2 linked regions of the Notamacropus eugenii genome follow. The protein of the gene in region 1 interacts with the protein of each later gene in a biochemical or structural test. Links are inferred from orthologs where the notes say so. Each region holds a gene or a part of one and is shown on either strand. Other genes may lie near its edges.

Region 1 (8,442 bases):
CCCACTCCAACACACACGCACATACACACACACACACACACACATACACACACACTCACACACATACACTCACACATCTTATGAACTATTAAAATAGTCTGTTGGATGGTCTGTCTAACACAAGTTTCTCCTCACTCTAGTCTATCCTCTCAGTCACTAAATTGTCACTAAACTTCCTAAAGTTCAGGTCATACCATCCTATCCCACTCCCCACTTAATAAACTTCTATGACTGCCTATCACCTCCATGAACAAATATGAAGTTCTCTGGCATTTTTGCCCAACCCAGTCCATTCCCACTTTTCTAGTCTTCTTAGTCCAGGGGTGAGGAATCTGTGGCCTCGAGGCCACATGTATTCTTCTAGGTTCTTGGGTATGACCTTTTGACTGAGTCCAAGTTTTACAGAACAAATCCTTTTATTAAGGGGATTTGGATTCAGCCAAAGGGCCACCCTTGAGGACCTAGAGGGCCACATGTAGCCTTGACACCGAAGGTTCCACACCCCATTACACCATGTCCTCCACCAAGTACTCTTCAGTCCAGTGACATTAGTCTCCTTGCTATTTCTCAAAAAAGATACTCCATTTCTTGACTCCAGACATTTTCACAGACTCTCTGTTATGCCTAGAATGCCCTTTCTCCTCATCTTCAACTACTGGCTTCCCTGGCTTCCTACAATTCCAACTCAAATCCCTCCTTCCACAGGAAGCCTTTCCCAATCCCCCTTAATTCTTGTGTTTTCCCTCTGTTGATTATTGCCAATTTGTTCTGTTTATAGCTTGTTTGTATAGAGTTGTTTGCATTTGTCTCCCCCATTAGACTTTGAGTTCCTTTTGCCTTTCTTTGTATCCAGTGCTTAGAACAGTGCTTGGCACATAGTAGGTACTTAAATGTTTATTGACTGACCTTCTTAAGTCTAGCTAATCAACAAAACAATAAATTAAACTCTGATTTGTCCTATTTGCCTGTTTCTGAGATGTAAATGCTCACACTGAAAATTTAAGAGTCAGCTCTCCCAAGTGATTTGGAGCTGGTTCCAACAGGCTAGAGTGGAGGGTGGAAGACATAGAAAAGAAAGAAAAGAGAAAATTAGAAAAGGAAAACAAAACAGGAACAAGTAAAACTGTTCTTCTTGATGGGGGTAACAGTTTCCTAGGATACCTCTTCAACTCACTTAGCCCTGGTTATATCATTATTAATATTCTCCTGTTTAGAATCACTGAATGTTAACTTCGGAAGGGAAGTTGTTCTTGTTGTTCAGTCATTTTTAAGTCATGTCTGACTCTTTGTGACCCCATTTGGGGTTTTCTTGGCAGACAGTGGAGTAGTTTGCCATTTCCTTCTCTAGCTCATTTTACAGATGAGGAAACTGAGGCAAACAGAGTTAAGTGACTTGCTCGGGGTCACACAGCTAGTATCTGTCTGAAGCTGGATTTGAACTTAAGAAGATAAAAGTCTTCCTGACTTCAACCCAACACGCTCTTCACTGGGCCACCTAGTTGCCCTTCAGTTGAGATAAAGGAGCATAAGTACCTACCAGTTTGAGAGAAACTGAGTGCTCAGCCAGCCAGGTGGCACAGTCTCTTCATCTACAAAATGGGGATAATAAAAACACCAACCTCACAGGGTTGTTGAGAGGATCAAATGAGATAACATGTAAAATGCTTTGCTAAACCTTAAAGTACTGTATAAGCTAGCTCCAGCTAGGTCTCCATTAGTACAAATAGATTCTATTCTGGACAAATTTAGAGAATCTGAAACCCAAATTATTTGCTGATTGCTTGGGGATTTGATGGATCTGTCATCTCAGCAATGAAAGTACCCCCTCCTCTCATGCTGATTGCCATCCATCCCACCATTGTAAATCATGTCCATATTCTCCTGTAAATCTGTCATGGTGGGATGGTCTATTTATTATGTCCAGGGGCACAAAAGTTGTCTATCAGTTTAACCTTCTCATTGATGTTTAGCTTTATAACTTGTTTTTTATTAGAAACTTACCTGAAATGTTTGACCTTGGTTTTTCTTGTGTAAAACCTGCTTCATATTCTCTGTAGACCATTTTCTTAAAGGTAGGCTCTGAGGGCTTCAAACTAAGCATGAAATACAAAAGTCTCGTTTAAAAGTTGTTCTATGGACAGATCTTTATTATTCAAGATCTCTTTTGCATTAACTTGTAGGAAGGATATTTTTTCTTAATTTTTTTCATTTCACTTTTTTTTCAATTCAGCAAACATTTGTTCCTATAATGTTCCAGGAAGTGTTCTGGGTTCTGGAGATGCAAAGATAAAAATGACATAGTTCTTGCCTCCCAAGGAATGAATAGGGTGGAAGGGAAGGGGTGGGGTGCTACATAAAAGATGTTGGTTGATCAGCATTCAACAAGATACAGAATTAGAGACAGGGAACTAGGGGAGATCCCAAAGCACAAAAATGTGATATAAAATACAACCAGAATGGTAAAGGGCCTTCAGATCATTCATAGGAGGTTCTTTTAAAAGGACTAAGTGTGTTTAGCCAGAAAAGAAAATTTATGGAGAGACTTGATAGTTGTTTTCAAGTATAGTACTTGAAAGGCTCTCCTAGGGAAGAGTGATTATACTGGGTCAGCCTGACCCCAGAAGGCATGTCTAGAAGTAGGTGGAAATCAGCTTGCACATCAGGAAAGCTTAACAATTAGAGTTATTCCAAAGGAGGAGGTCTTCAAACAAAATTGGATGACTAATTGTTGAGCATGTTGGGGGTGGGGCGTTAATTTTCAGGTATGATTTAACTACTTGGACTAAGGTCCCATCCAACTCTTAAATTATGTAGTTTCTGAAGTAATTGAATAAGTTTTATTTTCATTTTTTAAAATTACCTCAGGACAAATGGTAAATACACAATATTTTGTTCCTAAAGGCTGTTTGGGTCCTGTTAATGTACAATGAAAGAAAAGTCTCTAATATGTTCATTCTCTTGAACTTAACTTTGGGGGAAAAGTTAACACTATTATGATTTCTCTCTAAAAATATCTTGTTCCATGGTTTCTTTCACAACCTACTCTTTGTGACCCCGTTTGGGATTTTCTTGGTAAAGATACTGGAGTGTTTTGCCAATTCCCTCTCCAAAATTATCTAGTTTCTTGGAAAGCCACATATAGTTTCTCCAACTATCTTTTGGCTATAATGGGAGGATATTTAAGGTGTTTTCTCAATTTAATGAAATAGGTTTTCCAGTAAGTACTTTCCAACAAAGGAACCTCAGTGGCTGGATCATCTTGGGGCTTTCCTCATTCTAGCCATAGGTTTTACAGGACCCCAAGAATTGATGCTTGGGAGATAACTCTTCCTAGGATTATGGTGGAAACCCTTTAGGATACCAGGGTTGGAGGATAGAACTCACAGTTCCCTCACATGCTAATCATGTTATATCAGAAATGGAGTTGGTCTCTGCAAAGAATTTTCATGGCATTTTGGTTATTAAGTAGGCTTGAATCCAGTATAAACTAGACAAATCAACAACCAAATTAGTTTGCTCTAGATAAGCAGGAAAGCATGATTGTTTTCTTTGAATCTTCTATTAATAACAGGACCTCAAATGTATTAGTATAAAAGTAGATGATCACCTTTCACTTCAATTCAATCCCATCAACATTGATTTAATACAACCAAAATTTTTAAGTGGCAAATTTTAGTCATTCAAACAGCAAACAAGTAATTTTGTAATCCAAAGGGCTCTCAGAAAATTTTGACATATCTTGGCAGATAACTCTTGATTTTGCAACTCTGAAAGAGGAACATGTCTTTCCCAATCACCCAAGTTGTCGTTTCAGGTTGAAATAAGCATAACATTCCCATCAACCCAATTTTAAAATAAAGAAGCACAGTTCATTGGACTCTGTACCTACTATAGGTTTGCTTGTTGATCCCAGACTATTCCAGAGAAGTTCCATTTCACCTTTGAAAGTCTCTAAGTTGTGAGACCAGTTTGAAAAGCAAACATTATCCTCAGATTAAATTCAAAGGCATTTCATTTTAATCAAGATTTGGTGTAAATGGGACAGTTCTCTCTCATAGGCATGTAGAAGCTAAAGATCATCACAAAGGAAGAAGAAATATACCAGGTAGCTTTGATGAAGCAAATTTAAAGAAACATAAAATAATAGATTTATTGCTTTTTCTCACAGTAATTCTTTAGGGGGAGGTACCATTCATAAGCCAGAAATCAAATAATGATTACAAACAATTTGGATTTGCATCTTAAAGTCTGCATCTGGACTTTTTAGAACACGAAGGTAATAAAATCATAGGGTTCAGGATAGGAGGGATGATCCTTAAAGGTTATCTAATTCAACTTTCTCATTTTAAAGATAAAGTGAATGAGGTTCAGAGAGGGTATGACTGTCCAAGTTTGCGCAGGTAGTAATTGTCAGACAGGATTTGAACCCAAATCCTCCAATTCCTAAGGCAGTGTTCTTTTTCTACTACATTACATTATCTCCTGAGATCTATGAATAATAATGCACATAAAGAACAAATAATTTTTAGAAGCAGTCAAGCAGGCAGGAATAATTTTACTTTGACAATTCAAAGAAGGATGTTGACAATACGATTAATTATAATAGTTTGTGCTCAATATTTTGTGCTTTTCCCATATTAAGTCAGAAATTGAATTTATGAATAAAATGATATTTGCTGAAAATACAAAGATCCCAGCTCATTAAACTTAATAATTAAGTGCTCCCCAAATAATAAAATGTACAAATAGAGGAGTGATATTGCATTATGACCAGAATGTTGCATCATATCCCATCAATTACAGTTTAAAAGAGGGAATATCCAGGTCTAGTGTGAGCTGTCTTAAGGAAAGAGTCTATTTTCCAGAGAGATAGTGAGGCAAACTTCCTGTTATTTTCTCTTCTGACCCTACTCCCCCAGTTTCCCCAGTCTTGAATTACCTTGGGTTGCTGGTCGGAGGGCGGTAGGTCCAGTTGATGATCTGAGCAGCTATATAGCGATGTCGGACAGCTGCTTCAGCTACATGCTGCCCCAAGTCCAGCCACCCAATCCCCAGGACCACAAGGACCCAGAGGCTTGGGTGGCCTGGAGACATGGTTTCCACTCCTGCTAACAGCAGCCCCAGGAGCCGCTGGGGTAGGTGACTTCGGGGGAGGAGTATAGTTTGTGCTACAGTGAGCTCTGGGAGGCTGTGGCTAGTAATGTCTTTCCTTTGAAGGTTCTGTCAGAAGTCACAGCAGCCACTGAAATTCCCTCCCCCTTCTTTGGGGCTTACAGGCATTGAGGGAGGCTGCCTCCACAGGACAGGTGGTTGGCTGGCTCACAGCCCAGTGGAACAGTCAGGTGTGAAGGGTAGCAGCTAGTCTCCCTGTCTCTTCTTAATGCAGGAAACAGTGAGAAAAAGGGCCAGAGAGCCCAGTCTCCAGGCAGGGAAATGGCCAGCAATTCTTGAGCCAGTGAGAGGACTGTATTCCTTAGCCTCCCAATCCCACAGCACCACTTAAGCTAATAAAACCTGCCCCTTTCCCCCCCTTCCCTCATGCCCCAAACTTGCCAGTGTCAAAGTTCACTCTTTTCGTGACTCTCTAGCTGGAGCTCATACAAAGATCCAACTCTTTCCCTGGTCCTTCTCTTTCTGGGATCATCCTGAACTGAAGGAAAATTTCTCACATGCTTCAAACTATGACATGTTCACTATCACATCATGTTTTGTAAAGAGCTTGAGGTTAGGAATAGAGAGTTCAAAGTTTCAATCCCAGTTTCATTTATTTATTCATCTTGGGCAATTCAACCTCTCTGTGACTCAGTTTCTTGATGTGTAAACAACTACTTCAAGGATCTGTTATTTCATCAGCATGGTGCTTCTTTTTCTGGGTGCAGATCACAATTCACTTATGCCTTCTCATCTCATGCAATTCTTTGTGACTGTATTTCTTCCACAGAAGTTGGCTCAAATTTATGTAGCTCTTTGAGGATCAAAAATGTTTTCTTCACAAGAACCCTGTGAGGGAAGAGATGTAAATATCAGTATCCCCATTTTATAGGTCAGGAACTTAGGTTAACTGATTTGTGTGCTTATGGTCATTCAGGTAATAAGTAACTGGAACATGAACCCATGTCTCTTTACCAGGGCCAGTACCTTTTTTGTATTCCCATACAATTTCTCTTGAGTATTTATCCAATGTGCTGGAAGCTCCCCTCTCTTTCTCCTTAATATTTTACAAAAATCTCATTACAAAAAGACCTTCTGTCATACCATTTATCCCATGAAATTCATCATTGTTAACAATCCAGAGTGGAATCAGTGTTGGCCACAGAGAAAAGAGCTCTGAATTTGGAGTCGGTGGCCCATGTGGGAATCCTGGTTCTGTTGCCTAATATACATGTGATTCTGCGGATCCTTTCTATCTTTCGGCACTCACAGAAGTCCCTAGGAGGCATGTACCCCTGACCATTCTTTCTATCACTCAAGGCTCCCTCTCATCTCTTGCACACAGAGCCCAGAGGTGTAACAGATACAATCTTTATTCTTCTCTCTTTTAGGACCTCCTTCTGCTACCACTGCTCAGCAAACTTTTCTCTTTTGAGATTCCCTCTATCCATCTAGGACACCCTGTCCAGATACTGGCTGTAGATATAGTCTATAGGCCTTTACATTATTTTCCCCTCTTCAGCAACTTAGAATCTGGCTCATAGACTTCTTCTGCCTCCTAGCCTCTGCCCTCATACTTGAGGACTCCGGTACACAGATGGATATTCCTTTAATGCCAGGACACATGGCTTTTCCATTTATTAATCCTCCTGAACACTCACAATCTATATCTTCACTCCAATTTTGTCACTCTTAAGGATGATAATACCCTAAATATCACTGTCATCCATAATTATGCTACCTCCATGATAACAAACTCTGAAATTCTTTCCTTCCATCATGGTCTCTTATCCTCTGCTTCATTCCTCCTAAATCTAATCCTCAATTCTCACCTAGCTCTCCAATTCTTCCACCCCTACTTTTCCTTCCAATCAGTTTCCCCTTCTTTGGCCCCATGTCCCTTCCTTCCCAGGTCTTGACCCCAACGTTGACCAGTTTAACTCTACACCATTCTCACTGAAACTACTTTTACCAAGGTTATCAACATATTTAGAATAGCCAGACCCATGGCCTTGTCTAAGTCCTGAACCTTCTTGACCTCCCTATACATTCTGTTATTGTTGATTCTTCCTCTTCCTAACATTCTTATCTTTTGGCCTTTCAAGATACTATTGTCTCCTGGGTCCTCTACTCATTGTATGACCATTCCTCAGTGTCCTTTGCATGAACAGGAACCATCTCTTGCTTCCTAATTGTAGGTATTTCCTCTAAGATTATCTTCTCTCTTTTTTGCATCTTGGTGATCTCAGCAGCTAGGTGGCACAATGGATAGAGCACCGGCCATGAAGTCAGGAAGACTGGAGTTCAAATCCAGCCTTAGATACTCACTAGTTGTGTAACCCTGCACAAGTCACTTAGCATCTGTTTGCACTGAAGAAGGAAATAGCAAAGCACTGTAACATCTCTGTCAAGAAAACTCTCTACAGAGGTCACAAAAGTCAGACAAGACTGAACAACAAACAATTCAGTGATATCATCAAGTTCTATGCATTTATCATTGTTGAATTGTTTCAGTCGTGTCCGACTCTCCATGACTCCATTTGGGGTTTTCTTGACAAAGATATCGGATTGGTTTGCCATTTCCTTTTCCAGCTCATTTTAGAGATGAGGAACTGAGGGGAAAAGGGTTAAGTGACTTGCTCAGGATCACACAGATAGTAAGCGTCTGAAGCTATATTTGAACTCAGGTCCTCTTGGGATGGTGCTCTATTCCAATGAGCCACCTAGCTGCCCCTCCTATAGGCTTAATTATCTACAAATATGACTCATGAATCAATACATCCACCTTTATTCTCTTTCCTGAACACCAGTCCTTCATTGCTAACTGCTTGCTGGGCATTTCTACTTACATGTCCAATAATAATTTAAAATTCAACATGTCTACAGTGGAGCTCCCTAAGTTTCCTTCCCAACCTTCACTCTTCTCTCAACTTCCTTGTCTCTGCTGCAGATACTACCATCTTTTTAGCTGCTAGTTTTGCAATCTGGAATCATCCTCTACTATTCCATTCTTCCTCACACTCCACATCCAAATTTTTGACAAGTCTTGTTCATTCTGAATCCTTCCCCTTATCTCTATGCCCTATTTCCTTACCTTTTGTCTAGACTATTGGAACACCATTCTAATTCCTCTCCCAGTTTTTAGTCTTTCCCTTCTCCAAAACATCTTTCACAGAGCTGTTAAAATAACCTTCCTGATAGGTCTTGAACTCTCCTAACTGATTCCAACTTCCCCTTTGTGGCAATGCTTTGGGGTAAGAACTTACTATATCTCACTGACCTCAGGCTGCC
Region 2 (8,442 bases), on another chromosome or scaffold:
CTGATTATCCCTTTCCCAATTTGCTCTCCCTTCTATTATTTTCTCTCTTCAATCCCCTTCCACACCTTCCTACAGGGCAAAATGGATTTCCATATCCAATTGAGTGTGTTATTCCCTCCTTAAACCAAATCCCATGAGAGAAAGACTTTCTTACTCTTTTTCACCTCTCCCCTCTTCCCTTCCTTTGTGAAAGCTCTTTCTTGCCTCTTTTATGTGAGATGATTCGCTACATTTTATCTCTCACTTTCTCTTGCTCCTAGTACATTCCACTCAACAGTAAATTTTATTTTTTAGGTATTCTCCCTTCATATTCAGCTCACCCTGTGCCCTCTGTCTATATATACATATATATATATATACATATATACCCACATACATATATATACAAATACATCCATATATACAAATATACCTACACATATATAATATACACATACATAAACACTTATATACACCTACATATATGTGTGTGTGCAGCATACACACACACACACACACACACACACACATGCACATATATATATGTTCCCTCTAACTACCTTAACACTGGAAAAGGTCTTATGAGTTACAATATCATCTTTCCATGTAGGAATGTAAGCAGTTTAACTTTAATGAGTCTTTTATGACTTCTCTTTCCTGTTTACATTTTTATGTTTCTCTTGATTCTTGTATTTGAAAGTCAAATTTTCTATTCAGCTTTTTCCATTCAGACTATTCTAGTCTTCTCATGAAGAATGCTTGAAAGTTCTGTTTCATTGAAATTCCATTTTTTCCCTGAAGCGTTATCCTCAGTTTTCCTGAGTATGTGATTCTTGGTTTTAATCGTATCTACTCTGACCTCTGGAATATCATATTCTAAGCCCTTCAATTCCTTGGTGTAGAAGCTGCTAAACCCTGTTTTATCCTGACTGTATTTCCACAATACTTGAATTGTTTCTTTCTGGCTGCTTGTAATATTTTCTCTTTGGGAACTCTGGAATTTGGCTACAATATTCCTAGGAGTTTTCCTTTTGGGGAATCTTTCAGGAGGTGATCAGTGAATTCTTTCCATTTCTATTTTCCCCTAGGGGTAAACCTGGGGACTCCAGCTTCTGGGATAAGAACTCACTATTTGACAAAAACTGCTGGGAAAACTGGAAAATAGTGTGACAGAAACTGGGTGTGACCAATGCCTGATATGGTATACCAGAATAAAGGCCAAATGAGGCACACAATCTAGGTATGAAGGCTGATTCTATAAATAAATTGGGGGAGCAAGGAATCATTTATTTGTCAGATTTATGGAGAATGGAGAACTTTATGACCCAACAAGAGATACATTATGAAACGCAAAATGGATAATCTTGATTACATTATATTGAAAAGTTTTTGCACAAACAAACCCAAAGCAAGATTAAGAGGGAAGCAGAAACCTGGGAAAGAATTTTTACAACTAGTGTCTATGATAAAGGCCTCATTTCTAAAATATAGAGATCACTGAGTCAAATTTACAAGTATCCAAGTCATTTCCCAATTGATAAATGGTCAAAGGATATGAACAGGCAATTTTCAGAGGAGGAAATTAAAACTATCTATAGTCATATAAATCACTATTGATTAGAGATGTAAATCAAAACAACTCTGAGGTACCACATCACACCATCAGATTGGCTAACATAACAAAACAGGAAAATGCTAAATGTTGGAGAAGATGTGGGAGAGTTAGAACATTAATTCATCATTGCTGGAGTTATGAACAATATGGAACTATGCCCAAAGGACTATAAAAATGTGCATACCCTTTAATCCTGCAATAGCTCTTCTTCATAAAAATGGGAAAAGGACCCACATGTACAAAAACATTTTTAGCAGCTCTTTTTCTGATGGTCAAGAACTGGAAATTGGGGAAATGCCCATCAATTGGGGAATGGCTAAGCAAGTTGTGGTATATGAATGTAATGTAATACTATTGTGCTAGAAAGAATGAAGAGGCGAACTTCAGAAATACCTGGAGAGACTTATAAGAACTGATGCTGAATGAAGTGAGCAGAACCAGGAGAACATTCTACACAGTAACAGCCACAGTGTGCGAGGACTGTTTTTGATGAACCTGATAGAATCCGATTCTAAATCTGATTCTTCTTCACAGCAATGCAGGGACCTAAAACATTTCTAGGGGACTCATGATGCAAAGTGCCATCCACATCCAGAGAAAGAACTGTGGAGTTGAAACAGAATGAAGCAGACTATTTTCTCTGCTGTTATATTTGGTTTTGTTTAGTTTTATTCATGCTTTCTCCCTTTCATTTTAATTCTTCTGTGTAACATGACTAATGTGAAAATGTGTTTAATGAGAATGTATGTGCAGAGCCCACATAAGATTGCTACCATCTTGGGGAGGGAATGTGGAGGGAGGGAGAGAAAATTTAAAACTTATTGAAGTGATTGTGGAAAATTAAAAACAAAATCAACACTGAAAAAAAATAAATGAGTAGCGTTCAGAAGTGGCCACTTGTCAGATACCTGGTAGTGGGGATTTATTTTCAGAATGCATTGGACTAATGGGGCTAAGATGCCTTTTAACTCTCATATTCTCTCATTTAGTGAATCAACCAGGCTTTGCGTGAAGACTTCACTCCCTTCAACAGCAAACAGATGTAGTCTAACCAGGGCAAGGTATGGTAGACTCATAATCTCCTTCATTAAAAACAGTCTATTTCTGTCTAATGTGCCATTAGTTTTCTGTGGCTGCCACACACACTGCTGAGTTTTTAATTGACTAAAATTCCCAACTCTTTTGGAAAGTACGAAATACCTACAATTTTGACATTAATCCCAACTGCTGTATTAAAACATGAATGTTCTGTCCCTTCCTAATTCTATTACTTTCATTGACTAGGAAGTTGGAAGGAAAAAAATCTTTCATCACAGTTCCATGTCAAAGGATATTCATCACAGTTTTCAAGCATTGTACTCAGGAGTAATGGTAAGTCAGTCTATTAACAAGGTTGGAAAGGGAACAGGATCTATGTGAAAAAAATATTTTATAGCTTCTCTTTTTGTGGTAGGAAAGAACTAGAAACTGGAGGTATGGCCATCATTTGGAGAATAGATGAAGAAGCAATGAAATCTGAAAGGAATAAAATCTCATTATGTTATAAAAAATTATGAAATAGATGGTTTCAGAGAAATCTGGGAAGGCTTGTATGAATATAGAAGAAAATGAGCAGAACCAGAAAAACAATTTATACTCTAACATTGTAAAAATGAACAATTTTGAAAGACTTCAGATTTTTGATCAGCAAAATCATCATTTGTGGTTCTAGAAAATGGATGATATTTTTGTGATGATATTTATCATCACAATTTTCTTTAATGTATGGGTGATGGAATAGGTAGGAAGAAGAGGAAAAAATTGTTTTAAATTAAACACTTAATTTTATAAAACAAAAATAGTATAGGCAGTCGAGTCACAGAATTTAAAAGCCAACAGGATCTTACTGAGATTGATTACAATAGCATCACCAATTTTTTTTAATAATCAGCATCCTGTTTTAACAATTCTGCAAAATAAGTAAATATATTAACTTTAAAAATATATGTGTGTATATATATACACACATATATACACATATATGTATAAATGCTATTACACACAAGATTAATTACAGTAGTGGGAACTTTGAGCAGGAGGTATATAGATTCCTGATAGGCTAATAAGAATAGTATTCTGAGGAAGTTGGGATTTTTGTAGTGTAGGTCTTTGCCTATACTTTCGTGTGTTTTCAACAATTTAGCAAAACTGATGATTTTATTTTGTCTCCTCCTTTTCTATATACTGATAATGTTGATCATTTCCGTATCTGTTCCTTTCCTTCTTTTTTCTTGCCTAAATGTTCTACTACATTGTCCGTAGGAACTGAAGCAGTAATTCAGTAGCTTAAAACCCTCCTTTGGGATGAAAGTTTTCGTCTTTTAATACTGCCCTATGCCACCTACAATGCCAATGAATCAGAAATTTCCGTTTCTTTGCCAATAACGAAGTCCACAAACAAGCACACCTAAAAGGGGATGTTTTGTGCAAAATGCTGACTGACCTGTTCCTAGGTTCAATGTCAAAGTCCGCAGAAAGGACGAAGTAACTGGATGAATACAACAGTGCCCCCAGGGCTACCTATTCTGTTTCCATGAACGCCTTTACCGCCACAGGCTGTGACATGCCCAGACTCAGGAGCCTTGGCAAAGTTTTCCTGCTGGAATGTTTTCAGTGCTCTGTTTCCTTGCTAAAAGCTTCCCTTTGCCGCCCTCCCTTCACGTAACCAAACTTCAGATCTGTATGAGGACAGACTGCTTTCAGGGGCAGCAGAGAGAGCAGGGCTCTGTTTACTGCACTCCCTGGCCCCACGCACATCCACCCCCACAGACTGAAAAGCTTCCCGGAAAATGTCCTGTTTCTGGGCTGGAGCCCGGCCCGCTGTTATCGCTTTCCCCAGCAGGGGCTGGGGGACCCAGCTGGCAGCTCTTCCCTCCCTCCCTCTGGCTCGGCTCGGGGACAAAGTAAATAGAGAAGAAGCTGGAGCCGGAGCGGAGGCAGCGCAGGCGGCCAGGGCGCAGACACGCAGGGCACCCCGTCACGCGAGCTGCGGAGGGGCCTTCTCGCCATGAGGATCCCGGGAGGGCGCTGCGTGGCTTTGGTTCTGAGCCTCGCGTTCGTGATCCAGATCTCCGGGGCAGTAAGCTGTGAGTACCCAGCCCCAGCCCGGACCCCTCTGCCCAGCCTCAGCGCTGTTTCTCCCGGGTCTTCCCCTAGCCCTGCCTCCCTCACCCCATCCTCCTGGTGGGGGTCAGATACAGGGGTCGGTCGGGCGAGCATCTGCGAGCTTGTGGCGGTCACTCACTGCCTGCTTGGCTCCCTTCGGAACTGATTCAAGGGATGTCGGAACCAATTACGGATAACGGAGCGAGCTGCCTAGTCCCGCACCTCTCTCCGGCTTCAGAGACCGAAGCTCCCGGTCCGGGCAGGAGGCTGTGCGAGCCCCATTCTCCCTGCCCCGCCCCCCACCAGGATCCATCCCCAAACATCCCCCCTTTCCCTGCCTTTCTGCTCAGCCTTGTGCAATGCCTGTACTTTGAACTTCTGTTGACTCGCGTTGCCGCACTCACTAGAGCAGGAAGGCGGCTAGCTCTTTGGGAGATCAAAAGAAGGCTTGTTTAAAAAACAGGTACCCAAATCGCTTGGTGCCGCACGTTTTAACAGTAAGTGCATTAAAATAGTTAGCTTGCTTTATTGACGTGTTTACAGTAGTGCTCCATACGTTTATACCTTGAATTAGATTTCCTATTGTCTTTTATGGGATGCATGATACGCACCTTGGAAGAGTAAAGCATTTCCGCACATGCAGTGTTAATCTAGTTTCTAAAATCGTGCTACTACTATCCAAAGGATGCCTGAGGTGAATTATCCTAAAGCTGATTGCCTGTGGGATGTTTTCTAGGTAGGTGGGATCCAAGTTTTTCTCTAGGTAGGGCAGGACACATAAACCTCGGACTTGAAATAGCTTTTGATGCTTTTGGTAACTAAAAAGAAAAGATTCCAAATTTAGTCATCCCAAATTAAGAATTAAAGAGATTACCTATAAATTCGAACAAAACAGCACTCATTTTGCATAAATCAAGATTGTTATTAATTTTTTTTTAAAAAATCCAAATGCTGAAAGTTGATGCAGTGTCTAAGAATCAAAATGGAAAACTTCAACACAAAATGACTAATTTATAAGACTCCTTTAGTTTTTAAAAATCTAGATGGGATTTATATGTCAACAGGAATTTGGGGAATTTTCCTGGGAATTTTTTTTGTTTTACAAAGGTAAAAAGAGCAGAAGTCCCTTGCCTTTCCCAGATACTACTTATTTTCATGTTATTATGGAAATTTGCCTACCCTCTTTTTCAGGAGAGTAATTGACCCTGAATATTAGATAGACATGGGGTTTATAGTTATAGAATGATCATCCTTCTCTTCAACTATTGGTTCATTTCCCTCCTAATTCTCATGCTGGGTTCTAAGTGTATCAATCAGAAGGGTATGTTCTCCTCCTTCCTCAAAATTTACTTGAAATGCATAGCATCATTAATAAATCAGTTAGCTCTAAGTCTACTCCAGTTTATTAAGTAAACTGAAAAAAACACCTTTTTTTTAAGCCTCTCTGTAGGATATTGGATGGAAACCTAGGCTTGGAATTAGGAGTACCTGAGTTCAAATTCAGCCTCAAATACTTACTAGCTGTGTGACAATGGGCAAGTCACTTGAGAATTTTTCTCAACTGCAAAATGGTGATAAAAATAACACTCTCACCTCATAGTGTTGTTGTGAAGATCAAATGAAATAATTTTTGTAAGGCTCTTGCCACACCTCCTGGCGCATGGAAGGCACTTCTCTTCTCTCCCCTACAACTTTCTTTCCCCTCTGTCTTTCTAAAACCCTGATCTCTTAGGTTTAGACAAATTATCAGTGTTATCAGTTATGCAATATATTAACAACACAGCAAACACTAGAAAGACATTTAATACTTCAGCAAAGTAGTAGCCATAAGATCATAGCCAGATTCACCTCTAGCCATTAACTGCAACTGAGGACTTTTCCTGAATTCTGGAAGTAAAGCCCAACTCTCTCTCTCTTTCCAGACTAAGTAAAGCCAGTCAAGAATTCTCTTCAGGATACCTTCAGCAAAGCTTAACATCAAAATTCAGTTCTCTCAGCAAATCTCTCTTGAGTCTTTCTCGCATATGACAGCGAACTACTTTAGGTCTTCAAGAAATTCTGGCTTCTGTTTCTCTCTTCCACAGTCTCTCTCTAGTCATGACAGCAACAGTATCCAAAATTACTATTAAAGTTCCTTTCTCCCATGATTTTATACTTTCTTTTAATACATGCTTTCTTTTAATACACATACATGCACATTGACATTTTTGAGTTGTACCATTCTAGAATGTCCTACCCATTTCCCCTCTCCTTTTGACTTCTACTTGAAACTGTTTGTGTTAAATTTCATCTTACCCTTATTTTCTCTATCTCTTCAAAGTCAGTGTTAATGTGTTAATGGGTGGGGAAGTAGTCAGTGCTGAGTTAGTAGGTTAAGGTTACTGGTTGAAGTTCCCGCTATTCATCTGAAGACCAATTCAACTCTCATTTATTGTGGGACATATTTGTGTTTTTGAACCGTTATTGTTGAAACACAAATGCCTTTCCCTGCAGATTACATCTAATATCCTCTAGGTGTCATTAAGGTTAAATGTTCTATTTACTTTAGTAATTTTATTTTTTGTAGATTTTTAAAATTTTAATGTACTTTCATTTATTTTGTTAAACTTTTATTACATTTTAAAAAGATTTTAACCTTCAGTTTTTAAAATTTGAGTTCCAAATTATCTCTCTCCTTTCTGCTCCTCTCTCACCCTTGAGAAGGCAAAAAATATGATATTGATTATACATATAAAGTCATGCAAAGTACATTTCCAAATTAGCCATGTTGCAAAAGAAAAGAAAATATAACAAAAATGAACTGTAAAAAGTATGTTTCAATCTGTACTCAGAGTTTATCAGTCCTTTCTTTGTATGTGGGTAGCATTTTCCATCATGGGCCCTTTAGAATTGTCTTAGATTATTTTCTTATTCAGACTAGCTAGGTCTTTCACATATGATCACACTTAAAATATTGTTCTTACCATGTACAGTGTTCTCTTCGACCTTTTCACTTCATTTTGCATCAGTTCATATAGGACTTCCTAGGTTTTTTTTTTTTCTGAAATCATTCTACTCATCATTTCTTATAGCACAACAGTATTCACTGCTGTCATATGTTACAACTTGGTCAGCCATTTCCCAGTTGATGGGCATCTCCTTAATTTCAAATTCTTTGTCACCACAAAAAAAGCTGCTATAAATAGTTTTGTACAAATAAGTTCTTTTCCCTTTTTAAAAAAAATCTCTTTGGGATACAGACCTACTAGTGGCATTTTTGTTTCAAAGGATATGCAGTTTTATATTCATTTGGACATAGTTCCAAATTGTTTTCCAGATTGGTTGGACCTGTTCATAATTGTACCAATTAGTGTCCCAATTTTTCCACATTTCTGCCAGCATTTATCAGAACTTTTAAAGATTCCAATAAGAATTCTCTCTCCACTGAAGTAAAACACATTTCTACCCCCTGAATACATTAATAAAAAGTTTTTGTGGATGGTTCTGTCTCACAAAATTCATCAAATGGCAGGCAATCTTCTTATAGACAAGCTTGTTCAAAGTTATCTAAACTTGTCCTCTGATTACAGGCATAACAAGTATCTCATAAATTCTATCCAGCTCCTACTCTGTTAGCATAACCTCCCAAACCCAGAGTGATTTCCATGCCTTGATAAGGCACATAAATAAGACTTTTGTAGAGGTATATATGAACATTGAAAGCC

What was found. The genes of interacting proteins can lie anywhere in the genome.
Region 2: the proteins of F5 (region 1) and PROS1 form a complex in vitro, tested with the Homo sapiens proteins (2 studies listed by BioGRID). The link is inferred for Notamacropus eugenii from reciprocal best matches to the Homo sapiens genes F5 and PROS1.

Annotation. Positions count from the first base shown.
Region 1 is NC_092873.1:476,828,121-476,836,562, reverse strand, and holds the start of F5 (coagulation factor V), read right to left. Parts: upstream 5,454-8,442; 5' UTR 5,095-5,453; coding exon 4,940-5,094; intron 2,094-4,939; coding exon 2,002-2,093; intron 1-2,001. UniProt on the Homo sapiens protein: Central regulator of hemostasis. It serves as a critical cofactor for the prothrombinase activity of factor Xa that results in the activation of prothrombin to thrombin.
Region 2 is NC_092877.1:194,197,670-194,206,111, reverse strand, and holds the start of PROS1 (vitamin K-dependent protein S), read left to right. Parts: upstream 1-4,329; 5' UTR 4,330-4,640; coding exon 4,641-4,719; intron 4,720-8,442. UniProt on the Homo sapiens protein: Anticoagulant plasma protein; it is a cofactor to activated protein C in the degradation of coagulation factors Va and VIIIa. It helps to prevent coagulation and stimulating fibrinolysis.